Linked DNA regions of Mus musculus: all the other regions are reported to be linked to region 1. Evidence: microRNA targets listed by miRTarBase, many of them from high-throughput screens and not tested one by one. Region 1 holds a microRNA gene; each other region holds the end of a gene's coding sequence.

What was found. The annotated mature microRNA mmu-miR-24-3p reads UGGCUCAGUUCAGCAGGAACAG and lies in region 1 at 2,345-2,366, shown strand. An mRNA with a match to its seed (bases 2 to 7 or 8) in the 3' UTR can be bound and repressed. Matches are read on the target gene's strand: a 7mer-m8 pairs with bases 2 to 8, a 7mer-A1 pairs with bases 2 to 7 and ends in A, and an 8mer does both.
Region 2: the mRNA of Cplx2 is a reported target of mmu-miR-24-3p. Seed matches in the 3' UTR shown: 7mer-m8 at 4,161-4,167.
Region 3: the mRNA of AW549877 is a reported target of mmu-miR-24-3p. Seed matches in the 3' UTR shown: 7mer-A1 at 1,494-1,500.
Region 4: the mRNA of Slc4a8 is a reported target of mmu-miR-24-3p. The part of its 3' UTR that is shown has no 7-base or 8-base seed match.

Annotation. Positions count from the first base shown.
Region 1 is chr8:84,206,531-84,213,649 of GRCm38, forward strand. Mir24-2 (microRNA 24-2) reads left to right here and starts at 2,285; the gene lies at 2,285-2,391. It overlaps Zswim4 (zinc finger SWIM-type containing 4), which reads right to left. Exons shown (of 14, transcript NM_172503.3): 14 at 4,412-6,275. The coding sequence ends at 5,416. Mir23a (microRNA 23a) reads left to right here and starts at 1,988; the gene lies at 1,988-2,062. Mir27a (microRNA 27a) reads left to right here and starts at 2,142; the gene lies at 2,142-2,228. It also overlaps Mir3074-2.
Region 2 is chr13:54,378,360-54,385,478 of GRCm38, forward strand. Cplx2 (complexin 2) reads left to right here. Exons shown (of 4, transcript NM_009946.3): 2 at 222-340; 3 at 453-628; 4 at 1,153-5,558. The coding sequence starts at 310. The coding sequence ends at 1,350. The region is part of intron 1 of LOC115488208 (a long non-coding RNA gene); the gene reads right to left. Among named protein-coding and RNA genes, the nearest start is that of Cplx2, 11 kb to the left of the region's middle.
Region 3 is chr15:3,979,731-3,986,849 of GRCm38, reverse strand. AW549877 (expressed sequence AW549877) reads left to right here. Exons shown (of 6, transcript NM_145930.3): 6 at 371-4,815. The coding sequence ends at 654. Among named protein-coding and RNA genes, the nearest start is that of Fbxo4, 3.7 kb to the right of the region's middle.
Region 4 is chr15:100,814,985-100,822,099 of GRCm38, forward strand. Slc4a8 (solute carrier family 4 (anion exchanger), member 8) reads left to right here. Exons shown (of 25, transcript NM_021530.2): 25 at 635-7,115. The coding sequence ends at 647. Gm41401 (a long non-coding RNA gene) reads right to left here and starts at 648. Exons shown (of 3, transcript XR_875664.3): 1 at 158-648.

The DNA of each region.
Region 1 (7,119 bases):
ACACTGTAGCTGTCTTCAGACACTCCAGAAGAGGGAGTCAGATCTCGTTACAGATGGTTTTGAGCCACCATGTGGTTGCTGGGATTTGAACTCCGGACCTTCGGAAGAGCAGTCGGGTGCTCTTACCAACTGAGCCATCTCACCAGCCCGACCCTGATGTTTTATAAAGAAGACGTGTGTGTGTGTGTGTGTGTGTGTGTGTGTGTGTGTGTGTGTGTGTTGTCTGGTCTTTGTGCATGACAGTGCAGTACACTCAGAGACCAGAAGAGGGAGTGAAATCCCCAGAAGCTGGAGTTACAGGTAGTTGTGACAGGTGCTGAGATCCAAACTCGGGCCCTCTGCAAGAGCAGTAGCCACTCTTAACCACTGAGTCAGCTCTTTATCTGAAACAAGGTCACTTGTGTCACTATGTAGCCCTGGATGGTCTGAAACTCCCTACACAGACCAAGCTGGCCTTGAACTCTTAGAGATAGTACTGTCCAAGGCCTGGTTCTTGCTTTCCTTTGCCTTTCAAGTGCTGGGACTAACAGTGTGCACCACCATTCTTAAGTTTATTTTTATTGTCTGTTTGTGAATGTTTGCTTACGCGTACGTCTGTGCACCATATGTATGCCTGGTACCCACAGGGGCCAGTGGGGAGCGTTGGAGCTCTTGGGAATGGAGCTATAGATAGCTGTGCTTGTCATGTAGGTTCTGGGAAAGAAACCTGTCATCTCTCCAACATTGAAATTCTTTAAACAATTTTTAAAAATTGTGTGTGTGTGTTCCCAAGTGCAGAGATCAGAGGACAACTTGCAAGGGTCCGTATGCTTTTCTTCTTCGTGGTTCTTGGGTTTGAGCTCAGGGCATTGGGCTCCATAGCAGCTCTGCTCACTTGCTGGATCAGCTTGCTGGCCCCTGAAAACTTTAACTGGCACGCAGGACACTACTCTACATTGGGTAGGCCCCAAATTTTGTGGCTTGCCCTGGTACTGGGTGCTAAATACCTTCTCTGTAAGTTTTCACTGGCCTTCCTAGTAGAAGGTTTGGGGTTTTGTTGTTTTATTTTTGTTTTTCTTCTATTTAAGACTAGGGTCTCAAACTGTAGCCCAGTTAGGCCTAAAACTCATCATGTAGCTTAAGCAGGCTTTTGACTCCATTCTTGGCAACCTTCCTGCCTCAGTTTCCTCAATGCTGAGATAAACGTGAGCCACCAACTGCAACTGTTGTAGTCTGCTTTACAGATGGGGAAACTGAGGCTTGGAAGGCCTAGGGGAAACTTTACTGAGGTGTTATTGTTGGGGTGCATCGGCCTGCTTCTCCTTGCTTGGGCCCTAGGTGGTGTGGGGTGGGGGTGGGGTTATGTCTGAGCTGGCTGGGGAGGAGAGGGCTGAGGTGGGAGGCCCTGGAGTTTCCTCCTGCCCTTCAGGCTTCTAGGAAGTGGCGCCAGCTGGGGTGAGGTCACTTCCTCCCTCCAACCGTCCACCTCCCTCAGCTTCCTCTCCATGGCCCCATTTGGCCTGCTTTGGGCTCAGGGCTGTGGGTGGGGATAGAAGCAGAGTGGGAAGCAGCTGGGAAGGCTCTGCAGCCCCTTTGGCCTTAGGGCTTCAGGCACCTCCCGCTTTGTAGGGCTGGGGTAGAGGCACTGCTGGGTGCCCAGCATCCAGCAGCCTCGCTCCAACCTTCCTACGGATCGATGCTCCTCTTTTTTGGGAATGCTTCTTCCCTCTTGGAAGTAGAGGAGGGCTAGGGTGTGGATCAGCAAGCTGAGTTTAGATTCTGTCCCCAGCACCACTTAAACTGTGTGTGGTGAGGTGTACCTATAATCCTAGACTCCAGAGGTAGAGGCAGGAAGAACTGGTGCATTCGGAAACCTTGTGTTCAGCTATGTGAGACCCAGCCTGGTCAAGATAGGCAGGCAAGCAAGAATGCTCCAATCTCACTGTCTCTTCTTTCTCTCTTTAGGTGCTACACTCCGCTCCCACCTGCTGCCCCCCTCACTGTGCCTCGGACGGCTGGGGTTCCTGGGGATGGGATTTGATGCCAGTCACAAATCACATTGCCAGGGATTTCCAACTGACCCTGTGCTCTGCCTTGGGGGCTCCTGTCGCCAAGGATGTCTGTCTTGGGTACTGGGTAACAGAGAAGCCTATCATGACAACTGGCCTGAGGAGCAGGGCTTAGCTGCTTGTGAGCAAGGTCCACAGCAAAGTCGTGTTCACAGTGGCTAAGTTCCGCCCCCTGGACCCCATCTCCTCAGGCCGCTGCTGCCCACCCTGCTCTGCCTCCTGGCTGGCAGGGCTCTGCCTCTCTCCGGGCTCCGCCTCCCGTGCCTACTGAGCTGAAACAGTTGATTCCAGTGCACTGGCTCAGTTCAGCAGGAACAGGAGTCCAGCCCCCTAGGAGCTGGCAACCCTGCAGAATGTCTGCCGTGAGCAAGACCTGGAAACAATGGGGTAATTAGTCCAACCTAAGCCCCGTTGTCTGCTGGAGGCTCAGCCTCTAAGCCTGCATCTGGGTGTCCACCTTGAGATTTCTGTGGTTCCCCAAAGCAGATAGATGGGCGGGTAACCCTTGCATTAAAAGCCAGTTATGTCCCCTCAGGGCCTGGAAGCCCTTCTTTTCCTAAGTCTGGTGGGGCTCAGGCACCACCCCTTATACATACCATCTTTGAAGTCAGTTACCCAAGAGGAAGCTGCTTTAGGCCCTCTAACGGTTAAATGCCAACTCTCTGCTTCCGGAAGAAGGCACTGACCTGATCCAGTGTGCCTAGCAATCCCATGGGGTCTGCAGCTTTCTGCTGGTGACAGCGAGGCAGGGAGCGAGGTCCACACAGGCCTCAGGATATGAACAGATCCATGCCCCCCCCCCCCATTGGCCTGTTGAAGTAATCTCCAGGCTTGGAAGTTAAAAAGTTGCCTACTACCCACAAATGAGACTGCATGCAGACTAATTGGAACTGGCTGAGTTACACTTCCCAGACCATACAGTGTCCTCTCCCTACTCTGGGCAGGGGCAAATCGAAGCCTGGGTGGAAGAACAGAGTTGAAAGCTTGTATTGAATGTTGTTCTCCAACTAAATAAAAGCTCCACAGCCTCATTCCGTAAGGGCTGACGTCTCTTCATTCCCGCCTCCCACATGTGTGTTGCTGGCTTTTTTCATTTCTCTTGAAACAGCATTTCTGTGTAGACCAGGCTGACCTTGAATCAAACTCCTCCAGTGTCTGGAGTTTGGGAATACCAGCTGCACCACTATATCTACCACACCCTGGGCTCCTAACCTGCATTGCACCTATCCCCAACCTTGCTCCACCTGCTTCTAGGAAGGTGTAAATATAGTTCTGTGGTCAGTAGGTGCTGCGACCTGAAGATCCTGGGATCCTTTGGGGATGGCTTGAACGGGAGGGATAACCCAGACCTGGGGTGTATGAGACCAATCTGTGGTCACCCCAGTTCCATGAGGGAGTATGTTACAAGAATGTACTCTGCCTATGCTGGGATGCACTGACTGGCAAGATGCCAGGGCTTAAGGACGGGCACATATGCGCGCACAGACAGACACGCGCGCATGCACACACACACACACACACACACACACAGGGCTTAAGGACGGGCACATATGCGAGCACAGACAGACACGCGCGCATGCACACACACACGCACGCGCGCGCGCCCGTCTACACACACACACACACACACACACACACACACACACACGCACGCACGCACGCACGCGCGCGCGCCCGTCTGCGCCAGAAGGGCTAAGGGGCGGATCGCCTCTGATCGGCTCCCTGGAGCAAAGGAACGCACCATGAACTATGGCCACACTCATAGTCACAGCCAGCTCCCATAGTGCCCCACAGAGGCAACACACACACACACACAGCTTCCAAGAGAACGGTCCTAAACAATGACCCTGTCAGACACAGCTAAGGACATAAAGAACCGGAGAATGAGAAGAATGCCCAGGCCGTCCGCTGGATGAATCCATCTAAGAACGGGAGTCTCATCCACAGCCCAAAAATGCAATGGGCAGGTCACTGGGGACACAGGCGTCCCCAGCTGCCCTCCGCACCTGGTGAGACCTCCGGAGCTCCGAATGACGTTGTCTGGAGCCAGACGCCCCCTGGTGGTCATTTCCTGCAATGAAGGACAGTGCAATCTGGGTGCATTTTCCAAAAACCTACAGACTCTAGGTTTGGGCGTTTTAAGCCTCCTGACTTGCAGAGATTATGACATGCAGATGGAAAAGCAGTAAAGCCACCAGCAAGAGGTGGCTCTTCGTGTCACCACGATGCCATGAAGAAACCAGCAGCCTCTCCTGTCCCATTCAAGTTGTGCCCAAAAACCGAGATGGAAAATTTTTTGGTTAATTGAGCAGGTGGTAGGTACCCCTGGCCCCGGGTGTTTGTGTTAGCAATGCAACCCAGTCTTGAAGTTAAAAAGAAGTTGTGTTCAATCTTTTTTTTAAAAAAAAAGGAAAAAAAAAGGAAAAGAATACAGTATGGGGTTCAATAAATAAGAAAAAAAGTTACAAAATGATGCCAACTTTTTCCTTAATATACAAGAGAGAAGACAGGTGCGTCTGGGGTGGAGGCTCTCCCTTCTCTTCCTCCCTGGGCCAAGGCCTGGGATACAGGAAGGCCTGTCAGCAGCTGGGACTTGAGAGAGATGCAGACATGGGGAAACTAAGGGAGTGGGGAAACAAATGGAGGTGCAGAGCAAGAGGAAGACAGAACGGGGTCCCTGGCTGTCTGCCTGTGCCTCCCACAACAGGCTGGAGGGCAGCCTGACTCCTGAGTTGTGTATCCAGTTACTAGTGGTGGGGTCTGGCCAGCAGAGAGCTGTCCCCAGCCTACCCTGTGACCTTGGTGCCCAAGAGAAGACAGGCCCTGGCTTGACAAGGGTATTTGGGGGTGAGGTATGTGGCAGAGGCCCAAGACCTCTTAATATCCTTCAGTGGGGTGAGGCATTTGTGCTGGAAAGCTGGGGCTGGGGGCGCAGGGCAGTGGGACAGGAGCCCTGAGCTGTGGAGAGGGGAGAAACACAGTGGGAAGTAACTACCCTGATGTGAAGTGCCTAGGCTCCGGCCAGCTCCGGCTCTGGAGCATCTGCTGCACTGAGTTGGAGGCCTAACTTCACTCTGGCCCAGCCCTTCTCCTGGAAGTCCCAGCTGACCCTGGGAGTCTGGAAGAGCCAGAGCTTGCTTCTTCCGTGTGAGGTGCCCAGGCACATACTCCCTGCAGGGTCTAGTTAGCAGTATGGCTTCGGATCCTCAGATCGCATGTCCCGTTTGTCTGCACACTCCTAGGCACACACCTGGAATGATGTCACCCTCTGCCTCCCACCTCTGTAACTTTACTGCAAGTAGCCATGGGCCTCCTGTTTGAGGAAGGTGGGCCTGGGACACCCATGCTCCCGGCTTTCTGCAGTTCCTCAGCCAAACCGTTCCCGAACCAACAGCATCAACTTCTTCTTTCCCTTGTACGTCTGTTTCAGGTTTTCTAAGAACTGTGCGAACTGGAGGTGCCCGTCTGGTGCCAGAAGGAAGGTCTCTCGAGCTTTGCCCAGGAACTCAATGAAGTCACCATAGTGGCGTGGGCTAATGTGGGTGAGGCGAGAGTGGCTGGTGGTTATGTACGCGGCTACTGCGGCATCCAGAAGCTGACAAAGTGGTGCCCTGTCAGTCCCTAGTGGTTTGGTAGCCCTGCGGGCCCCCAGTGGGCCCAGCCCGGGTGCTGAGAGTGTCCAGCGTCGCAGGATGTCTGAGAGCATGGGTGCACAGTGGATGCTTCGGATGATGAGAGGGACAATGGCCGACAATTCGTGCCGCCCCAGCGAGTGGCTGAGGGAGCAGGCCCACAGCACATCGTTGACTGCAGGGTGGCTGTCTTGGTTGAAGGCAATGCTGAGTTGTGCCAAGGCTAGCGTGGCCAGCTTGTAGGCCCGCAGAGGCAGGCCTCGATGCTCCATATACCGTGCAACCGTGAAGAGGTGGGCGTGGCCGAGGCCACCGGCTGCAGCGTCCAGCACAATCTGGTAGGCAGCCTCAAAGGCCGCGTGGTTCTTCTCACACAGGGTCAGGGCTGGCAAGGCGCAGTTCTGGGGATCCTTCATGGCGCACTGCAGTGCCAAGGTGCGGGCACAAGCCCAGAGCTCCTCTCGCCCAGCTGTATCTAGCTGCAGTCGCAGCAAAGTGGCATGCGTGGTGCCTGTCACTGCCACTATGGTGACCGCCTCCACTGGGGTGAACAAGGAGTACCAGTTCTTCATGATGCTCATCAGCGCTGGTGGGCCTGGGTGTGGGGAGAGGGCAGAGTGTGTATCTGTGCAGCCAGACCCTGCCCTTTCCCTTCCCACCCTACAACCATTGGCTCTGAATCCTCCCAGCTTCATCAGTTTTTTTGTTTTTTGTTTTTTTTTTGGGGGGGGGTGTATGTGAAGGGGTGCAGTTAATCTCACTCTGCAGCCCCACTTGGCCTCAAACTCAGAGATCCAACTACCTTTGCCTCCCAAGAGCTAGGATAACAAGTGTGGGTCATCACGCCCAACTAGTTTTTGTTTGTTTGTTTGTTTGTTTTTGTTTATAAAGACAAGGTCTCATGGGGCTGGAGATGCTTAGTGGTTAAGAGCACTGGCTGCCCTTTCAGAGGCCTTGGGTTTGACTCCTAGCACCCACGTGGTGACTTAAGCCAGTCATAACTCAAAGGGATCATCTGACCTCCACAAGTACACATGTGGCACACAGATATACATGCAGGCAAAACACCCATACATGTAAAATTGATTAATTAAAAAAAAAAAAGACCAGACAAGCTTTCACATAGTCCAGGGTTACCTCAAACTTGCTGTGTAGCTAAGGATCAACTTCTGGTCTTCATGCCTCAACCTCCCAAGTGCCGGGATTAGTCTTGTACCACCATGTCCAGAGAGAACACAGGGCCTGGTGCATGCCAGATCTGCACTCTATCAAATGAACTACACCCAGCCTTCCTTTTCTACTGCCACTGGGAAAGTCAGTCCCTGCTAAGCAACGAGTCTAGCTCCGAGCCATAGCTCTGGCCCAGAGTCTTGAGACAGGGTCTCATTTCTTCCTCAGCCTCCCAGTGCACGGATTCCAGGTGCACTGTCTTGTCTGGA
Region 2 (7,119 bases), not on the chromosome of region 1:
ATAATACAGAATAGGAACGAGAAGCTGTTTAATTGCAGATTCACACCTGGACCATAATACAGTCTCAATAAATACCTCTCTTCTTTCTTCCTTCAAGACATTGAGCCTTACTCTCAATTGGTGATCCCTTGTCAGAACAAGAATAAGGCTGCCCTGCGTCAGTCTCTAACACCCTACCTGGGAAGAGACCTTTCCATCTGACCCCACCTCCCCTTTTGCAGGTGGGCTCATTTCCCAAAGGCAGACCAGCCAGGAGTGCTGAATGCGAATTCAGCCACGGGCTAGAGAGCATTAACCAAAGCCTGCAGGATGGACTTCGTCATGAAGCAAGCCCTCGGAGGTGAGCCTGCCACCTTTCCTCACCCCCACCCCCTACGCACCCTCGACCCACCCGCCTTCCCTGCCCCACTGACCACGCCCCCTTCCTCTCCTACCACTCCACATCCCTGCAGGGGCCACCAAGGACATGGGGAAGATGCTGGGGGGAGAGGAGGAGAAGGACCCAGACGCACAGAAGAAGGAGGAGGAGCGGCAGGAGGCCCTGAGGCAGCAGGAGGAAGAGCGCAAGGCGAAACACGCCCGCATGGAAGCCGAGCGCGAGAAGGTCCGGCAGCAGATCCGAGACAAGGTCAGCACCCCTTGCAAGCCCCACCTCTGACTCCCCTAAACCCCAGATCTCATCTAAGACCTGATTCTCCCCGAGCCTTACTCTCATCAGGAAAACAAGTGTCTTCGCAACAGTGCCCCCAAGGATTATACATAACTAAGCACGTAGAAAACGCAGCGCTAGCTACGGCGCACCATCGTATGCCGTTCATTTAGTGTCTAGTAGCATCACACTGCAGAGCACAGGTAGCCTTCCATCAGCCAGCCAGCCCTGTCACAGAAATGTGCCTCAGACCGTAGGAAGACATTCAACATTCAGAACTTTGAGGATTTCAAACGGATAAAGGGGTATTATTGGTAAGTGCGAGTTTTGAAAGAAACGGCAGCGTCCTGGTCTTTTATATCAGTCACCTGCTAAAGACTGGGCTCAGTTCTCCAGGGAAGGCAGCTTTCCCGGGGGAGCTTAAACGTGTTGATGAGACACACAGCCAACCTTCTGTTCTCTCTGACTTGACTTCATGCCCCTCTCTGTCCTCTCTCCCCCAGTATGGGCTGAAGAAGAAGGAAGAGAAAGAGGCAGAGGAGAAGGCAGCCCTGGAACAGCCCTGCGAGGGAAGCCTGACCCGACCCAAGAAGGCCATCCCTGCAGGCTGTGGGGACGAGGAGGAGGAGGAAGAGGAGAGCATCCTGGACACAGTGCTCAAATATCTGCCAGGGCCGCTGCAGGACATGTTCAAGAAGTAACCCATCCTCCTCCGGCCCCTTCCACGTTATGACTTTTTTTTTTTTTTTTTTTTTTTTTTGGTGTTCTTAGTCTTTCTTTTCTTTTTATTCAGTTAAGTCTCAGTTCCAAAGGGGAAAACCTTAGTCGACCTCTGCCCCCTTACCCTAGTCAGGGACTCCTCCCCTCTGCAGTCCCTGACAGACCCTTCATCCCAGGGTTTCTAGTCCTGTTTCACTCCCAAGTAGCTTGAAAAAGGAAGGAGGAGGAGGAGGAGGAGGAGGAGGAGGAGGAGGAGGAGGAGGAGGAGAAGGAGAAGGAGAAGGAGAAGGAGAAGGAGAAGGAGAAGGAGAAGGAGAAGGAGAAGGAGAAGGAGAAGGAGAAGGAGAAGGAGAAGGAGAAGGAGAAGGAGAAGGAGAAGGAGAAGGAGAAGGAGAAGAAGAAGAAGAAGAAGAAGAAGAAGAAGAAGAAGAAGAAGAAGAAGAAGAAGAAGAAGAAGAAGAAGAAGAAGAAGATAGCTTTACTCTAGCAGGGGGCATTGAACCCAGAGCCAAAGGCATTGGTTGTCCCTCCAGAAGAAGCCCATGGTCTATGTTAATGTGGTGACACTCCCCCCCATACATTCCTTCATGCTCCCCACTGCCAGGAGGACCACTGTCCCCAGCCAGCCAAAGTAATGACACATTCCAGCCTTGCCCAGCATGCTGACCTTTGGCCTCTGAACCCCCCAGTGGGAGTCCAGGTCAGGGCAGAGGCACTGAGTGGTCTGGCTCCAGGAAGGCTATTCAGAGGGAGCCTGTCCTGGAGAGCCTAGCCCTGAGAGGCTCTAGCTGGGTCTGGCCAGGTTAGAATCTGGGCAGGAGGCTTGGGCTCTCCTCTTTTCCTCTTCCTGGTGCCGCTGCTGGCCAGGAGCACACCTCTCCCCAACCCGACCTAAAGAAGCACGGCCCCGGCCAAGCCACTCCTTCCAAATGGATCCTCTTTGGACTTTAGCACATCTGTGGAGGAACCCAGGGCAGGGCAACACCCTTATTTCTCTCTCATCTGACTTAGGTCCTGGGACCCCACTGCCAGGCTAGGCCCGAGTTTGCCCAGCCAAGGGGCTGCCCAGACCCCCAGAAAATACTTGGAGCCATCGGGCAGTGGTGGCCTGTGCCATGAGGCTCCTCATTGGCACATCCAAACTGCCCCCATTTCCTGTCCACCCTCCTTCCCTCCATGTCCTGTCCATGTGCTTCCAAGTCCCCATTGTCCCCAGGAGGACTCTTCTTGGCCAAAGCCCCCAAACAGCTGGGGAGAAGCCAATTGCCACCTGACAAAAGACTGTCCATTCATCCCACTGGCCAAGGGTCAGCTCTCCTCTGGGATGTATAGGACTGGTATGTGTCCTCACGTACCACCTTGTCAAGGCTTCCTGCTCTGTGACTTGTGGAGAAATGGAGAGACAGAGGGGGAGGCGCAAATGAGGGATGAGCGTGTGAGTCCCCACACACTGGGTAATGCACGGCAGGCCCATCCTACATCTCGATGCGACTGTGTCTTGAGATTGCATGTGTGTGTGTTAGCTCTGTGTTGCAGGCTGTGTATCTGATGTGCCTCGTGCATATGTGTTTGTGGGATGTAGTGTGCCTGAGTCCCAGTTCATTTTCTCGGTATGTGCTAGCCATCTCGTGTGCTTTCAGATTGCATGTGCTAGCTTGTATATGCATGTACTTGCAAAACGGCATGTGTGTCAAGAGTGACAGGTTACATGTTAGCTGTAGACATGTGTGCTTGAGACAACTGTCACGTGGGCTAAGACTGGTGTTCATGTGTGTGGGTCTAAACCAGGAAGTCGTATGCATAAGTCGTACAACTTCTTTCTCAGAGAGCAAGAATTGGAGTAAGATGCTTCCTCCCCACCCTGAGACGGTTAGTCACAGATGGCCACATCTGACAGGAAACCTTACTTTGGCCTAGAGTCCTCCCACCCTTGGGGGTTTCCTACCTGAGGTCCTCAGAATGCTACTGGGACAGACCCAGGCAGTACCCTAGGAAGCCATGCTGGGCCCCTACCAGGGCCTATCCCAAAAGCAGGGGCCCGGGAGGGGGCGACTTGCCCTCCCCCGAAGCCCCTGTCCCACTGGCCCCAGTTTGCATTCTGCAGGTTTTCCATTTTAGTGGACTTACGCTTTTATTTCAGAGAAGACAGACGTCTTCCCTGTCCGTTTCCAATAGTTAAAGCCATATCAGTTAGACCGCAATACTTTAAAGATAAGACTAAACAATCCATATGTGTAGGGAACCAGAAAAGTCCCCTGGTCTCTCCCTCCTCTAAGGAGCAGGGCCTTGGCAGCTCCAGCTCCCGGGACTTACCCTCCTCCCACCCCCACCCTCTTGGGCCCCTGTGTCATCCCACAGGGGGCTAGTGTTTGTGTCTATGTCTGTGGTGGGGAGCCATCTTGCACCCCTATTGTCTGCTTGTTTCTGTTTCTTATCCTGGGCAGGATGGTCATTCTTCAGAGCCTTGGGGTCCTGGGCCAGAGACAGGCAGGGACCAGTCCAGGGGCCCTGGGCCTCCCTAGACCCTGAGTGTGACTTCCCCTTCCCCAACCCCCACCCCCTCACACACACCTTGAAGGCAGGGAAGGACACTAGTGTTTTAAAGGCCTAACCCTTCACAGATAGACCTCAAAGGTAATGAACGGCACAGTACAAAGCATCAGATGGGTAGTGGAGACCAAGACCTGGAGAGATGCAAATAGGCAAGGAAACCCAGCCACGCAAGAACCCGAATGGTCCTGAGAGAGCCCAGACCCTTCAACTGAAGTCCTTGGTGGTTTCCATGGCTCCTCTGAGCCCAGAGCGAGCTCAGGGCTTTTCAGCCTCACCCAGTGCCCCCCAGGCGGGGCTGGCTTAGTCTAGATTTATGTCTCCTTTCTATGCCCAGACAGCAGATTCTGAGGTCCTTTGAAGGTGGAGGTAAGAGAATTTCTACTTGATACATACCTGGTTCCACCCACACAAAGCCCAGGGAGATGTAATGATTGATATTTCTGACATAGCCTGGGCTATAGGGAGAAAACAACAGGCAACCCTGGAAGGATGCTGTGTACCACACATGCATGGGAGGGCAGAACTTGGGTACTTGAGCATTGGAAAGGATACATATACACACATAGCACATACATGCACACATTCACTCACATACATATACACACATACATACATCCATATATATACACACACATATATATACATACATATACACATACATAAACATACATATACACACACATATATATACATACATACACACATATATATACAAACATATACACACATATGTACACATACACACACATACATACACACATGCACACACACAGCATGGAAGATGGCTGGAGTGGGATGAGGCACATCACTGACAGGCATGTGTGCTCTTTGGGAAGGTCATCAGGCTCCTACACCTGGAAATCACCAGCAGTGAAAAGAAAGAGCGCTTCTCTGGGCCTCTGTGAAGATGACACAGGATATCCAGGGTACATGTCCCCCATTTCAGCTCCAGAGAGTGAGCCCTTAGCAGCAAAGCTCCACAGCGCTTCCTTCCATGGAAGTAGGAGCTCTATAGGCCATCCCAGGTAGGTAAATGAGAACAGGAACGAGAAGCCCAGAGACCCCTCACACATGGCAGAGCTGGTGAGCAAACCAGCCATCTAAAGGCCCATGGCTAGAGTAAGGGGGGCTAAGCATGGGGCTTCCAGCCCCGAGAGTGCCCACTATGAAGTGAGCAGAGTTGCCCACCCACAACTCCCCTTCCATCTTCCTGTGGTTTGGCCAGCCCCTGACCTCACTGGGAGACCTGGGGATCAGACTCCCTCCCATGGGGGATGCCTCCCGGCCAATGTCCCCTGCTCTAGTCCCCATTCCTAATGCCCTGCCCTTTCACCAGGGAGAGAGACCTGAGGTGCTCCTGCTGGCCCCGGGATGGGAGTGGGAAGTCCCACTGAGACCCAGGTGAGATGGACCATCCTGCTCATGTAGGGGAACCTCTTTCCCACAACTGTGCTGTGTCCTTGTTGCTCTGCTTCCTTTAAATGTGTCAGTCTCTGGGGGAGGGGAGGGCCACGCCCCCCGAACTCCCTTGAACCTGACCAAAAGCCATGGCCGTGCTCCCCACTTTGTATGATGCAAATGCTAAGATGATGTACAAAACCAACCATGATGACAAAGAAAAAGACCTTGTACAGCAGCTGTCCATCTGTCTGCTTTCTTCTGTCTGTCTGTCTGTCAGCACTGCCGGTGATGGGAGTCAACTAACACCAATGGTTAAGGATGCACCAAACACTCTCAGTCATACCCACAGCTTCCAGCCAGGACAATGTGGAAAAGACCTCAGAGATTAATGGAGGCCAGAGTTAGGGCTGGCCCAAGTTCCAGGATCGATCTATTTCCCAAGGCCAACTCCACAATCCTGGGGGGTGGGGGTGGGATGCAGGCTGACCCTCACTCACATTCCATCTCAGACTGCCCTGCTCCACTCTTGGGTGGGGCAGGGGGGCATCCTAAGAACACCATGAACACAATAGATGGGCAAATGTCTATCAGTTGTTCATTCTGCAATAGATGGGGCATCTGCTCCCTGCTGAGCCTGGGAGGCTTGCGGGAAGGAGGCTGAGGGCACACAGAAAGGACTGCACTCAGCCTTCCTCTTGGACACAGACTCACCTCGTTGAGGGCTCAGGCTAAGACCCCTTTCACTTCCTTGCCTCTGGTCAGACCGCATAGCCAGCCCAATGTGAGGCCCCCTTTCTCCTGGCTTCTCAGTATTTCCTAATGTAATGCATGGGTCTGTCCTCCCAGACTGCTGTACCTCCCCCTACCCCATCCTTTCCCTGGCACCCCAGCCCCAGCTAGAGCAGCTGTCTAAACTACAAACATGAATAAGTCACCCCCTGCCCCGCACCTTCAGCCTGCCTACAGGATAGTATCTACCCCTGGTGTGGGGGGGACAGCATCCAGATGGTCAAAATGTCCCTGTGTGATTGACTCCAGTGATTCCAACCTGCTAAGTCAGAGCCACACCCACTCCGGTGTTCCAGGGGCACTCAGCCCCACCCCCACATCCAATGTCACGTCTCATTTGCATAAATCTCCCTCTACCTGGAATGAATGGTTGCCCTCGCCCCTCCTTGTACCCTCTAAGAATTCTGGAGCTTCTCTAGATCTAGCTCAGTCGTCACTCCCCTCTGCAAAGCCGACAGAGATGGCTGCCTGTCTCTTGACCAGAGCAGTCTGCCACCAAGCACACGGAGCACAAAGCATTATAGCTTTGTGTTGCCATAAAAGCCCGAGCGTACAGACAGGCACTGTCATCCAGCAGAGCCATCTTGAGTGAGACACTTAACCCCTCTGAGCGTCCGCTCACACAGGAAACGGGATGACAATAATTATTCTAACCTCCACCCTTGTGGAGAGTAAGTGGTGTTTTGCACGCCTGTCCTTATCATCAAGTACCAAGCACTCACCGGGCTAGCACTGTGAACTCTATTTAAGGTATGATACTGCACACATCTCCCCCACAAAGGCAGTCTCTGTGAGGGCAGCACATTTGTCGCCTTCCGGTGACTGTGAGTCAGGAGTCTGGGCACAAGATTAGCTGGATTCTATGCTTTTAGGACTGCATAAGGATGCTAGCTAGCAAAATGCAAGCGAACTGCCAGCCACCAGGGCTGGGGTCCTCATCGGGAGGCTCAGCTGAGCAAGGATCACTTGTAAGCTCACACAGTTGCTGGAAAGATGCAGTTGCCGGA
Region 3 (7,119 bases), not on the chromosome of region 1:
TTTTTTTTTTTTTCCTAGTAATACAAAGCATTTTGGAGTATCATCATCTGTGATAATTTAGAATTGTATAGTATACAGAATTTAACGTATTATTTTAGAAGGGCTCTACCAGTGAAATTAATTCTCAAAAAAGGCCCTAAAAGAGGCTCCTAAAATGTTAAGTACGCACACTTAAATGGTTTTAAAATTGTTTGACAGTAGTGTGCTTTGTCTGGGGGTTGAACGCTTCTAGGAAAAAGAGAAGTGCTGACTAAGTTAGGCCTGTGCTAGTGAGAGTGGCCTTCTCCAAGCTAGTAAGTGGTATGACAAAGGTTTATTGTCAGAGCTTTTATTAGTGTTGTAAGAACTGAATTCTAAATGTCCTTCCCAGGAGTCTTTAGTGACATCCATGTGCTGGCTATGATGTACAGTGGAGAGATGTGCTACTGGGGGTTAAAGCACTGCACAGATCAGCAGTCAGAAAACCATGAAGTTGATACTGATGTTTTTGGAGCAAGCTGCACCACACACAAAGAAACCTTGGATTTCCGAGAAGTAGGAGAAAAAATTTTGAAGAAGTATGTGTCGGTGTGTGAAGGACCTCTGAAGGAGCAAGAGTGGAACACCGCAAACGCAAAGCAAATCTTAAGTTTCTTTCAGCAGCGCTGTAGCTAGGTGTTCATCTAGGTCTCAACTCAAATACATAAAGATGCTGAAGTGGGGAAGAAGGCTTTGACAAAGGAGATGTACTACACTGATCTTGAGACGGTTACACTACATAAAGGTGCCCAGTGCACTACGCTTCTCTAATGCTGTCACCTTTCCCTGAGTGGTCTTAGGTCTGTGAAGAATATTCTCTAATTTCTAGAATGGCATATATGCCATTCTAACTGAACTTGAACTACATATAAACCTGCCACTGGTAAGGAGGAACCCAATGTAGATGGACAGTTGTTTTCTAATATTTTAGGTTATATTTTTTATTGTACTAAAATATATGTAACACAGAATCTCCTTATTTTGAAGTATGCATACTTCAAAGATGGAAATCAGGTTTTCTCCTTGTTTCAAATATAAAGTATAGCTATAAATGTAGGCAATTAGAATATTGTGACTAATATTTAGATTTCATTTCCAGTAATTAAACAACAAAGGATTTAAAAGATGAAACTTATTTATTTTGCCATGCATTACTAATAATACTTAATTTACTTATCCATTTTATAAATTATTTTATTTTATTTAAAACAAAAACTGCATGGTTACTCCAAAAAGAAGGTAAATTCAGTATAGATGAGACCACCATTAGTTCAGATGCTTGTAGGGCACATCTTTGCATATAATGAACTTTACACATATTTTGCCTTTCAGTAAGACTGAAATGCTGAAGGCCAAAGAGCCTAGTTTGCTGTCTTGCTCACCTTTCTCTGCCTACCTCAAGTCTTCCGATGCACTAGACTTCTGTCCCAGTGACATCTTCACATTCCTGTCATTTCTGTAACTGAATCTAAGCATGAGCCACACTCAGTTTCTCTTTCTGAAGTCTTACATTTTAGTAACTGATGACAGTTCTCTTCTTTTCAGCTTTTAAAATTTCTTTGTTTTCATTGGTTTTTCTGTTTTCATTCTACAGCTTTCAACCTTTTCACGGGCTTCTCTAGACTGCTCTAACTCCTGAACAGCGACCTCTTTCATGTTTTTTTTTGCCCCCTACTTCATGGGGCATCATCACATGAATACTGGCCTCCCTTGTTTCCTCTCCTATTTTATCTCCTTGGCAGCATCATCCTTGGCAGGCTCTCAGCACTGCATTAATCTTGTCAGCCAGTCATTCTTAGGAGACTAAGTTTTATGGAAGGCATGCAATCCTTCAAAGTGTATTGCTACACATTGACTTCACTTAACAATCCTAACTGCAAAGCTACTAAGGTGCCTCCCCTTTTCCCACCATGGTAGAGTCAAAGTTCATTAGTCACCTCTACCCTTGCTCTTCCACAGGAAGTTTAGATTATGAGGGAGTCAACTCTATTTATGCATTTTTCTGTTTTAAAGGAGAAGAATTTGCCTAATTTCTGTTGAAGACTGATCTTTGTTATTTCTTCTTTCTCCTGTAGTTTCTCATTTTCTGCCTGTCCTCATGAAAGTTTCATTCTCTTCCTTCTCTTTTTCTCTTTACTCTAAATACTCATGGCAAGCAGTATTTCTCACTGCCATCATGGCTTATGCCACCTATAATGTTAGGCTGGTTTCCATGCCAGGAACTGGAACCCCACTCTCCTTGCTCTCTGAATTTCATTTTTAATTGACTGCTAAATGTCTTCACTTTGACAAATACTGACTGCATGGTCATTTTAAGTTCAATATGAGCAAATAACAAATTTTTATCTCTTATGGAAATCTTTTCTGCCTCATTTCCCTCCAATTTTGTATGTTTTCCAAATAAGCAAATAGAAGGCCTACTTTCCATCCTTATTTCTGCACACACTCTGATTTGTGTTCTAGACCAACGGTTTTCAGACATTAAAATGCGAGGTTCCTTTTTGATAAACAGAATTCTGAATAAGCAGTGGAAGCCAAGGGAGATTCCACAATCCCTGCCACAACTCTTGGCCTGTCTTTATACAGCCAAGATTTTTATGTAACCTAGCATTTTAGCAAGTTTTATTAGGAAAATATTGTAGCTTTCTAAATCTTTAATGTGAATTTTAGAAGCACAGATTTCTTTAGTGGATCATAATCAGTTAATCAAGTGCTTCCACTCCCTTTCCCAAATGCACTTATGTTTTACAACCATAGTACCGTTGTAGACGTCATTATTGCTGGACTGGTCTTTGTGGCCAGATAAATTACTTTACTTGTATGACGTACCTTTAGGAATACTGTGTCTAAAGGCTTTTTTCAGCCCTTTCCAGTAGAAATTAGATGTTCCTTTATTTTCTCGCTTCCTTTCACATGTCACCACAGTACAATGTGTTGTAATTTTTTTTCTTACTACTGAACGAACTCCATATCTTAAAATTTTATCTTTGCACACACTGTTCATTGCATGGTAGGTAGTAATGTCTTCTGAATTAATGAGGCATGATTTGAAATGCCAAACTTTGCACAAGACGGTTGCTGCTATTGCATTCCAAACTGCCATGCCCTCTATACCAGTGGTTGATATAGCAAAAGGGAGCATGTCTTCCTCGGAGGAGTCAAGTGTTACCTGGACACTAAACCTGAGAAAATAAGACTGTCTTCACAAGCTGAGAACTTCCATTTTTGCCTTTATGACCTTTGGGGGCTCACTGGTTGATACAATTATGAGGGTATTTCTGGGTGCTTTTTGTACAATTTACTCCCCTACCCCAAACAATTGGAGAGCAATTTATAGACCATAATAGTTGTAGTACTTTCTACTGTGGTGTTATAAAAGGAAAATACATCTTTTGGTATTAATCTTGATGAGTAAATTGTTTTATTTAGAATGAAGTAACCTCAAAATAACAAATACTCCACATAACAATAAGCCTATAATAGACCCTTTCAATAGCTAATATGTGCCTACAACATGCCATATTTTGTCCTAGGCACTGAGGATATAAACACCCTCCTGTTACAGGCTTTTAGTGGAGGAAGAATGTACAGTATGCCAAGTGATAACACACTTAGCAGGGTGTAGGGGACTATTGTGACGTGGAGATGGTGCTATTGTATTTAGAGTGGTTAGAAAGATCCATCTAAGCACTGTCTTCAATTTCCATCCTGTTTTTTCTGATGCCTTGTGTATGCAGTACATCTGAAGATTTTCCTAAGGAAGTGGCTCTTAAAACCTCCTTTTATTGAATCTAATGGCTTTCTCATTCGTGGTGTTTCTGATGCCTACAGCCTAAAGGTCTTGGGTTCTTTATTCACTTGAGGTGGTTTTCTGTCCACCGCCCAGTTCCCTTTTCTATCTTCTATACGGTTATTACATCTTTCCACAGAAACCAAAACTCTGTACTGTCTTTAGTATTACTTCCCTATTATTTTAAACACAGTATGAAGTAGCATTGTATGGAAACATTACAGTAAGAGGTACTTAATATAGACACAGCGTATGTATTATATCATGCTGGTGTTTGGTAGCTTTTGCTTTCCTGCGTCTAGTGAAAATTTATCTTCGGTTTGAATTCTCTGCTGTTGATTAAATGTAAAATGTTACAGGATTTTCCCACAATCCTTAAACGTTTATCACTCTTTACTCAGTGTGAGTTTTCTGATGTGGAGTAGACTTTAAGACTTGATTTAAGAGCCTGTCTCTCTTGCTATGTTTATAGGCTGTCTGGCTGCTGTGCATTATTTCATGTTAAGTCACATATCATGACATCCCCTTATCCTTTGCTTACAGTGGAAAAAGGTGAAAGTCATGACTAAGAGGCCACCATAAAAGATACATTCCCAGCCTCACAATCTTGTGCTCAGTCTTGTGATGTTCATTAAAGTATGAACTGTGTCTGAAGGTGTTTTCCAGTTATCTTCATGACATTTTAAATACCCACCGCTACTAACTTGGTCTGCTTGTAGATTGCTTGTCTCCTGGGGCCCCTTTATAACTCCATGAGGATATTTCATCTGTCACAGAGTCCAGGATTCAATAGTCCTCTAGTATTACTTACCCTTCATTCATTTACTATAAAAGGAAATAGATTATAAAAGTATTATGTCTACATAAGCTTAAGATAGCCAGGATTAAAAGTATTCATTATGTACTATGCCGGTGTTTCCTAGTTTTGTTTTTGCAAATTTTAGTGACATGTTCCAGCTACAGTGTTTTGGAACATATACTTAATAAAATAAAACGAAACCCCCCTACTTGTTTCTTACTTTCTTTTATATTTTATTCTTGCATCACTTTTCTGTCCTAATTTATGAATACCTTCTTTCTGGTCCTAGTAACTTTCAAAGAGAGTAGCATAATGATTCAGATTGTGAGTTCTTGAACTAGAAGGCCTGAGGTAAATCACAACCCTGTCATTTCCTAACTGGAACTGTGTCAATTGCTAAGTCTTTCTGTCTTTAAATAGTATATATTTTTAATTATTTTTAAGTATGTATAAATTGTGTGTGTGTGTGTGCATGTGGGTGCATGTGGCCCATGCCCGTGGAGGCTAGAGTCTCAGATCCCCTGGAATTGGAATTAGAGATGGTTATAAGTTACCTGATGGTGCGAGGGACTCCCAACTCCTATCCTCTGCAAAAGCAGGAGGAGCTCTTAGTACTGAGCCATGTTTTAACAATTCTATAATGAAGCTGATTTCTTCCTCGCTCAGTAGATAAGTCACATTTCCTTGTAATATAAAAGCAGTGGCATTTTCATTTCTTCATACTTAAAATGACTTATGCTAATTTTCTTTCTCTGAATACAAAACACAGTTTAGAGAGGAGAAAGGCCATATAAGTAATTAATTCATAAGTCTTTCCCCTTGTCCTGATAATCTGAGCAAGTGGTTGACCTACTCATTGCTGAGCAATGTCATAGGAAAGAATAATCATTTTTAAATGTATGCTCTGACAGACCCTCAGTTGCCCAGCTTCCAGCTTTATTGAATGTCTGTTACTTTTCATTTGGAGCTTCAGGTACTGCATTTTGAATGAAGGGCCCTTGTGAAAAGTGTCTAGGGTCCACTACTGAGCATTATGTACTGTTACATGCAGCTATTGCTGTGTTACTTTCATATTTATATACTAGCAACTATTTCCTGTAGCCTAGCGTGTTTTTAAAAGATGTGGCCTTTGCCTTCTACTTCGAAGATTGTAAAATGGTATTAATTTTTAAATATCCTATGGACTAGATGTAGAATGTTTTGACAATTGATATTAAACCAGTTGTATATAGATGATAAAATTTAACTGTTTTCCCAAAAAACAAAAAACAAAGCAAAACACAAACAAACCATCTTGGAATAGTAAGTGGTTAAAGGTTGACAGTGATTTTGAGATAGATTATGTGGGCTCCGCCCATCTTCCATGTTCTCCAGAACAAGGTTTACACCTCAGGTTATAACGTGGTGATCCTTACTAGATTATTCTAAAAGATTTTAAAGAATTTAACACGTGACTACTAAATCCGAAGTATTCCCGTGATGAAGTCTAGATGTGGAATGGGTTTGGGGATTAGATTAAGTGAGGTAATCTACTTTAAAGAGACTGATAACCTGCTACCAAATAGGTATTTGTGTCTTTCCTAAAACTATATCCAGTGCTATATAATATTTTGTTATATAGCCTACCTCTCATTTCTTAAATTTCTTTTTGATTATGATTAAAGTTACTAGAATAGACATCACTTTTGGAAGATTAAAAATTCACTAATGGCTTTTAATAGTACCACATCCAGGCTTTTCTTTCCTATCAAATTTTCTTCTGACCTTTTATGATAGATCATTGATTGAACAATTTTTTAGTGTATGTACATTTTTGTCGTGGGCTTAAACTCACCATTTTGGTAGAAAATACCTAATAATGGAGTTTGAGGAAGTAAATGCAAGCAAAATGTGAGTGGCCATGGCCAGAGATTGGATTCAGGTTGGCACACCAAGTTGTGGAAGCAGTTGCAAGAACTATTATAGCCACAAAACAAAGACCATACATCAAATACATATACCACCTACGCTGATGAGGGCATTATGTACACAGCCTAGATAAAATTGGCTACATCTTGCCTGGCTTTCAGATGTTACAACATTATTTACTTTAAAATCGGTAAAGGGGGCAGGTGTTTGAGAGATGGTTCAGCAGTTATAAGAATGTACTGTTCTTTCAGAGGGCCTGAGTAGGTGGCTCTCAAGGGTGTGGTTTCCAGTTCCAGGGTTTGTGATGCCTGTGGCCTCTGCTGGAACCTGAGTGCTCATGCATATATCCACATACATGTAGTTAAATAAAATTTTAAGCAAAGCTTACAAGTTTCACCCAACCTCATGAGGTTAGACCAAAACCAGATTGAAGTTAATATTAAAAGAGCTACGCTTGAGGCAGTTTTGGCTTCCCATCTACAATAGTTTCTCCACAGCACGATGTTCTAGTCAGCCAAGGTTATCTTTAATAACACATAAGGCTCCTGATAGCCTCCACGGGCTCAGTTTTTGCTCAACTCCAAGTGGTAGATTGCTGATTCCA
Region 4 (7,115 bases), not on the chromosome of region 1:
AAACATGACAGTTTTCTTATTCTGCAAAGAAATTTCTCTGTATAATAACAGCATAGATCAGTTATAATCAGATTATTAAAGAAAATTGGAGGTGGCTTTGCCTACATTAAAGGAATGCAGTGCATAAGTTACTGATTTTGGCCCAAACACTACTTACATTTAAATCATCAGAGAAATGAAGGCAAAACTCCAATGTCTTGATACTGATAACAGTTTTTGTTAAAAAACAAGCAAGTCAGGAACCAGGAAAGCTGGCCCGCCCTGCTTTTATCTCCGCACATAACCGGGCAGGCTGCTGCTCCTGGTGTTCAGCTCAGCTGCAGGATGGGGGTACTATCAAGGTTGTTCCAGGAGCAGAGAGCTCCTCGGAGTCGTGCCCACCAGCACATGGTGTGGCAGCTTCTTCACTGAATGGGTTAAAATAGATCTGAGCTGAACATGAGTGAACACAGAATCTTGCTTCCCTCAGAGGAAAATCCAGGCAGCTGTGGGGATGTATAACACATGTGGTTATTTTTAGTTGAGAATTAGTCTACTTGTAAATGAACTTAAAATACAGCCAGATCCAAGTAGCATCTTCGGAGTGCTGAGAGAAAGAGCGCGCACTTTGTCTCACTGTGACGTTGTTTCTCAGCCCCTTCAACTGAGAGTCTCTGCTGAGTGGAAGATTTGGACCATGAGGTGCCTCGGAGAAGTTCTGGGTTTTAACAAAATGGCGAGTCTCTCCGGGAAGAAGCCGAGCTGAGTCTGGCCCCGTTCTTGGTCATCTCAAAGCCATGCCACATGGAAGCATTCAGTCACTCCCGGTGTGCGTTTGGAGGACATCCAGCTACCCACATACCAGCAGCCAGGCGCCAGTCGGGTCATGGTGGGGCCGCCTCCCGCTGCCTCCTTTCCTCTTCCTTCTCTCTCTTCAGAGCTGCCATCATTAAAGAGCCAGCTTCCATTTTCAGACATTTTCTCTGATACTCTGCTGGCCTGGTAAGCCACACGAGTCCATTCTGTCACAGAGGATTCCCTCTTCCGAACGATAGCCTGGGGTAGTGGCAGAGGCAGGACAAGGGCAGGCTCTCCAGCAGCCTGTGCCTTGGTTTCCTTTCTGCCTGGGAAGGGGATGTTGGACAGGCAGACACAGTAGCAGGTCTGCTGCCTGAGCTCCACCATCCAGGCATCAACAGCAACCACCACAGTGAGCTGCCTCTGGCCTGGGGTCATCTGCATCACCTCCAGAAGCAGTGGGCATAACGTTGTGAGTCCTTGGAAGATGCGGGGACAGCATGAGAGCAGGAGTTTAGCTGATGTCAGGAAAGGCCTAGGGGAAGCCAGCAGCGCTCGGAGTGTGAGCATCTTTCCCTGGAACGAGAGAAAGAGGAGCCTAACTTGCTATGGAAGCACTTAGGTTTCCAGGCCTGGAGATCTGTTCCAGGTCTGTTTTTTTAAGTCTAGGAAAGTCTTGCTGACAGCTGTTTGTAGGAAGGAAGGTGGATCGGGGCTGCTGCGGCTGCTCTGTGTGAACTGTTTGACTTGATGCTGCTACCTCTCGTGGTGACATTGTTATAACACCCTGGAGAGACCCGAGTGCTCATGGATGTCCCTTAGCTGCCTTAGTCGGGAGAACCATCATCATCCACTCGGTGGACCCAAACCGCCATCAGCCATGTGACTTCCTAATCATGGGTTTCTTTTGGTTGACAAGTTCTGGCTCAGGTGTAAAAGCCACACGAAGAAATGAGCTGTAAGCGGTGGCATCACTTTGGATACTTAGTTTAAAAGTATATGTGTGATTTTCTATGTTCCAAAACTATCATGAGTTTTTTGGCCCGAGCAAGTGTAGACCTCCCCTTCCTTTGTGCCCAGACTGTGACTAGTGAGCTGGGACAGTCTCTGTCCAGAGACCACACACACACAGTGAGCTCTCTTCCTCTCCTGGCTGAAGAGGCTCTACATCATTCGATCACAGTTTGCTCCCCCTCAGACTCGCTGAAACATCTAGTCCTTCTCTGAAGGTCTTAGGTGTCGGGGGCCACCCCGTGTTGCCCGTTCCTCCCTACCTGTCAGGACCACTGCCATATTGATGCAAGATATTTGACAATTGATACAGGACAGACACGAGCCACACAGAGCCGGTGTCTTCTGTAGAATAGTGGTGGGCACTGCTGTTCAGGGCCTGTGGGATGAACGTGACCCTGCTTCCGATCCCAGAATGGCCTCTGGAATGTGGGTTTGTCTGGTCTTTACTCATGGGAGATGTGCGTTCCATCTGAGCAGCCACCCTGGCTTGCTCTCAGGTAGCACATACTGCAACAGGTGGGTTTCCTAGAAATCAGTGGACATTCAAGTCTCTGTTAGCCAAACAGCCCAAGCATGTCACTTGAGGACAGATTTAATAAGCATAGCCTTGCCCACCTTGGATTAGGAGCCGGCCTGTCAGTGGGAAAGGTTTTTGATGCCTTCCTGGCCCTCCTCACACTTCTGGAACTCGAGTCTTTTCTCACTGCTTGCATTCTCTGGGAACACCCCTCTCTTCCCGGACTGGTTTCTCCTCTGTTTTTCCTGCCACCTTCTGTGTAGGGAAACTGATGACTGCTTCACCCTGCCCTGGCCTCAGTGCACTTGAGAGACATAATGGTGAGGACCCTGACGTATGAGGGAGCCAGTGACTTGTCACTGAAACTTACTCTTCCCACACGATGACGCTTGTGCAGCCTCCTGTGAGCTATGCCCTGGGCTGGAGGGTGGAGGCTGCTCTCGCCCGCCCTGAGCAATGCACTTGTGGAGCCTCATGCCCATGTTTGCACTGGTCATCTCTTCTATGACAAGGGTCGCTCTCAGACACGTCTTGAATGTGGCCAGCTAATGTCATGACTTGCTGGTAATGTCAGCTGGTGGTGTGAGTGGAGTTGGGGGGCTGGGACTCAAGAACACGTTAATTGAAGCCTTGGCTCTGAGGGAAAAGATGGAGGGTTCCTAAGTGGCCAGTTGCTTCCCGATGACCATCAGGGAAGGGTTGCTGTAGAGAAAGGTGAAGAGCTGGAGAGACGGAATGTGCAAGTGCCAAGTGTGTTTGGTTGCATAACACATGCAACTTGGGAAGCTTTGTCAGGAGGCTCCGGACTTTCCCACTCCCAGCCCCATGTTGGGTCTCCTTAACCATGAAAACCTGTCTTCCCGATAGAGGGAAAGTGAACCATCTCTCTCCAAAAGACAGTTGCGGTTTCTCATTGTCGGTGATGGAGCAGACTTTTAAATTACTCACTAATGTTGGATGAAAATGTGGTATTCACTAAGTTCCCAGCCTGCCCAGACTCTGCAGAGTCTGTGGTTTATGATCGTCCAGAAAAGGACAGTTCCTAACTCCACTTTTCCTTGACCTGCTCAGCTCAGCAGACCTGCTCCTTAGTGGGGAGGCAGGGGTTCTCCTTGTATCCTGTGTAGTAGGTGCAGTGTCTGTCCTGCCTCTCCACTTGTCCTGGGTTGTAGTGAGTAGCAGACACACTGTCTCCTGTGTGTCTCCCACCACTGGGCCGCTCGATGTCCCTGAAGATCTTTTGATGTAATTTAATCGTATGGGTGTTTTACCTTCACACAGGCCTTTGCACCACATGTCCCCCATGCTTCAGGAGATCAGAAGGAATCCGATCCTCCTGGAGCTGGAGTTACAAATAGCTGTGTGCTTCCATGTGGATGCTGGGGATTTAATTGAACCTGGGTGTAGCTGGTCTTTGCTACTTTGTGGGTTATTTTCTCACCCTTTGCTCCCTCTCCCAGTTTCACTCCTTGACACTAGATAGGACAAAAACGGGGGGCGAGAGGGAGAGGGAGAGAGAGAGAGAGATCGAGATCAAGAGAGACACCCCTGTATCTAAATTCCTTTCTTCTTTGAACACTACGAAGAAACCACAACCAACCACACACAACTCCCAAACAACCAACAACCACCCATCCTGCTTTTTGGGAGCCTAGCATTTATAGACTTTCTGAAAAGTTCCTAGAATTCCAAAACTTGACACAATGCCAGAGACTGTCTGCAGCTGGCAAAACCACACTTCTGCTAGAGCACTAGGCAAATCATGTCAGCTGCTGCCGACACTCCAAAGCAGCCCCACATCCCCACACCTGGGGACTAAAATGATAACATATTCTTATATTTGTTTTTTAAAGAAACCAGAATTCCAGAGTTCTCACCACGATTCCCCACTTCTGTTTTAAGTCATTAATTGTGCTGTGTATATCAGGAAATTATAAACAGACATTTTCAAGGAACTGAGTGTTCAGGTTAGTGCCAAGGTGTTGAGGAGACCTCTCCTGCTCGGTCCTAATCTTTATCAGTTTTGATGGTATCCACAGCTTTTCGTTTCCTGTGGAAGTATAAACAATTCCCCATCCCCAATGCAAAACTTTTCTGTTCTAATATTAACACATCTTTATTCTATATTGTAAAAAATTCAGTTTTTCCTCTCGGCCCCTGCTCCAGGAATGACCACTCCAAGACTCCTTATTATTAAATGCCTTGGCCAGAAGCCTTGCCTCATCCATGACTGGCTCGTAACCTATTCAACCCATTCAAACTCTTCTATGTCATCCTCATGGTTACTTCTCCTCAGTCCCGGCTTGCTTCATCCTTCTCACTACCTCCTCCTTGTCTCACTATCTCCCAGAATCCTCTCTTCCTGCCATTGTCCCACCTCCTATTTCTTGCTTCAGCTCATTGGCCATTGGTGGTTTTTATTGACAAGAGATGCTAATAAGAGATTCTACAGTACATAGGCTGATGTAATTCCACAGTTTTTTTTCTAAAACCCAGAGTATCTCAACTGCTGCTGTTCCTTTCTCATTAATATTCAGAAAATTTAAAGTTAGCAGAGAGTAATTGTCTCTTTTTTTCTCTTTGCTTTATAAGCATTTCCTTTAGGTAAAATGAGATCTTTCTACAACTGCCTGTCCTGTAGGATTGCATGAATATTAATCTGAGCACTGCACAGTTGTAGAAGAGCCCTTCCCCATAGACTGATGGGTCGGTCAGAGTCCTTCCCCATAGACTGATGGGTCGGTCAGAGCCCTTCCCCATAGACTGATGGGTAGATCAGCCACATCAGGTCTTAGCTTTCCTGTTAGACCTTCTGGTCCCACACATTTCACCCATTGCACACTTTGTTTTATCTGAGATAAATTTCCGATTCCTAGAAACTGTATAAACCTTCCAAAGTGGCCATTCTGAATTCCAAGATTTTTTTGTGAACTGATAGTTACATCAGCGCCTGTATCCACAAATTTGTCTACTTCAGTACCTTTTATGTGAAATTTTAATATTTGCCTCTGATCATTAACAACTGTTTGCCGGAACACATGCTTTTCAGTCCTTTCAGACCCTCCTGTTCTCTCTACTGGAGCAGCTTTGTCTCTGGGACAGGGAAACAGTAGCAGCCGAACAAGCCTCTATCACCTGCATTAATTTGCATCTCTCTCCCTCTCCCTCACACACACACATGCCATAACTTTAATTTCTCCTTTGAAATCTTCATGTATGATTCCTGGGTGCACAGTGAATCCTTGGGGAATCAATCCATCTATTCTCAAGATCATCCCACTGTCTCTGCAGGCAAAGGAGCACGAACTCTCTCGAAGTTTTGGATATAGAGTAATGCTTTTCTGTGGCCGAGTCTAGAGCAGCACTGCCTGCAGAGGTGTTAGATCTCCAGTGCTGAGTGCAGGTTTTAGTCTGCGTGTTATGGCTTGACTGGAACAGCTCACAGTCTTTGCTTGGTGGGGAGCTAAGCTAGGCCCCCAAGGCTGTTTCCTTGAATATCTCTTTTGGATCTGCATTCCGGAATCCAGTGGCTGCCTTTGCCAAAGTGCATACACATTGCAGGAAGCCTACGAGTCCTGTTTCAGATTCAGGAAAACCATTGCCTCTAGAAATGACTGATTCACTCTTCTGCTGCAAAGTACTGTCTTTCTCCCAGTTAACGCACTGGGTGGGTATTTTGAGGTCAGAGATTTTTAGCTCTAGCTTGGCCTGTTCTATTAGCGTGGTACACATTAGAACCAATATCGATCACATCCCTTATCCATTCTGCCATAGACGCTTGCTCGAGCCTTTAACGTTTCGATAACTTTTTTGCATTTGGTTATTCGCCTTTTCAACAACTAAGGCCTCTATCAACACCTGCCTTCATCTTGATCTGGTACGGCTTCCTTCACAGCTGAGACTAATCTTTGTAATCAGTGAAGGCTTCTCAGAAGCCCTGTATAATCTTTATAAATGAGGTGGTCTTTTTCCTGGGCCCCTCAAATTTGTCCCAAGTTTTAAAGCCACCAAGCAACATTGTTCAGTAGTAATATTATGTGATTGAACCTGTTCTTGTATATCAGAGCCCTGCCCTTCACCCAGCAATGGTGGAGCTGATGGGATTCGGCTCAGAGAGCTGCCGCTGGAGCTGCTGCTTGTGGTGCTAAGGACTAGAGAATGATGGGAAAATCCTACACTGAGTGGCTGAAGCAAGGCAAGCTCCAACAACTTTGTTTTCTCCTTCAGCTCGTTTGTACCCAAAAGTGGTCACCACAAAACACTTTTGAAAAACATGTTAAAATCACTACACAAACTGAAATTACAACAGGATTACTGCTTGCATATCCTTCTTTTGGAACTTTGACCTAACTCTACATTCCTCATCTGTCTTTCTCTCCACAAGTTCACTGCCACCCCAAAGCAATAATTCTCTTGTCATAGACTAACAAAGCTTAAGCAGACCAAGTAGAGAGTAGTATGTTTCTCCCAGTGCTTAGATGGTGACAATCTTGTTTGCTAAGGAACAGGTCATCTGTCTTGCATCTTGTTTTTGAAGTCTTGGTCAGCTAGACTGGCTAGTCCTCTCTCTCTGTTCTTACATACACAGTGAAGTCCCCTGCTCTTCGTTCATGACCTTCCTTCTCATGGTGCACACAGAAACCAGTGCCACACCTCTGGATCACAAGATCAAGGAACTTAGACCCAACCTGGAATGAATGTCTTGTTTGATAATTAACTTGTCCCCAGCCTGTTTTTCTTGCTCCTACAATCGCGCGCTTGCAACGCTGAGGGCTCACTGGCGCCCTCACCTGTGCCAGTCTATGAG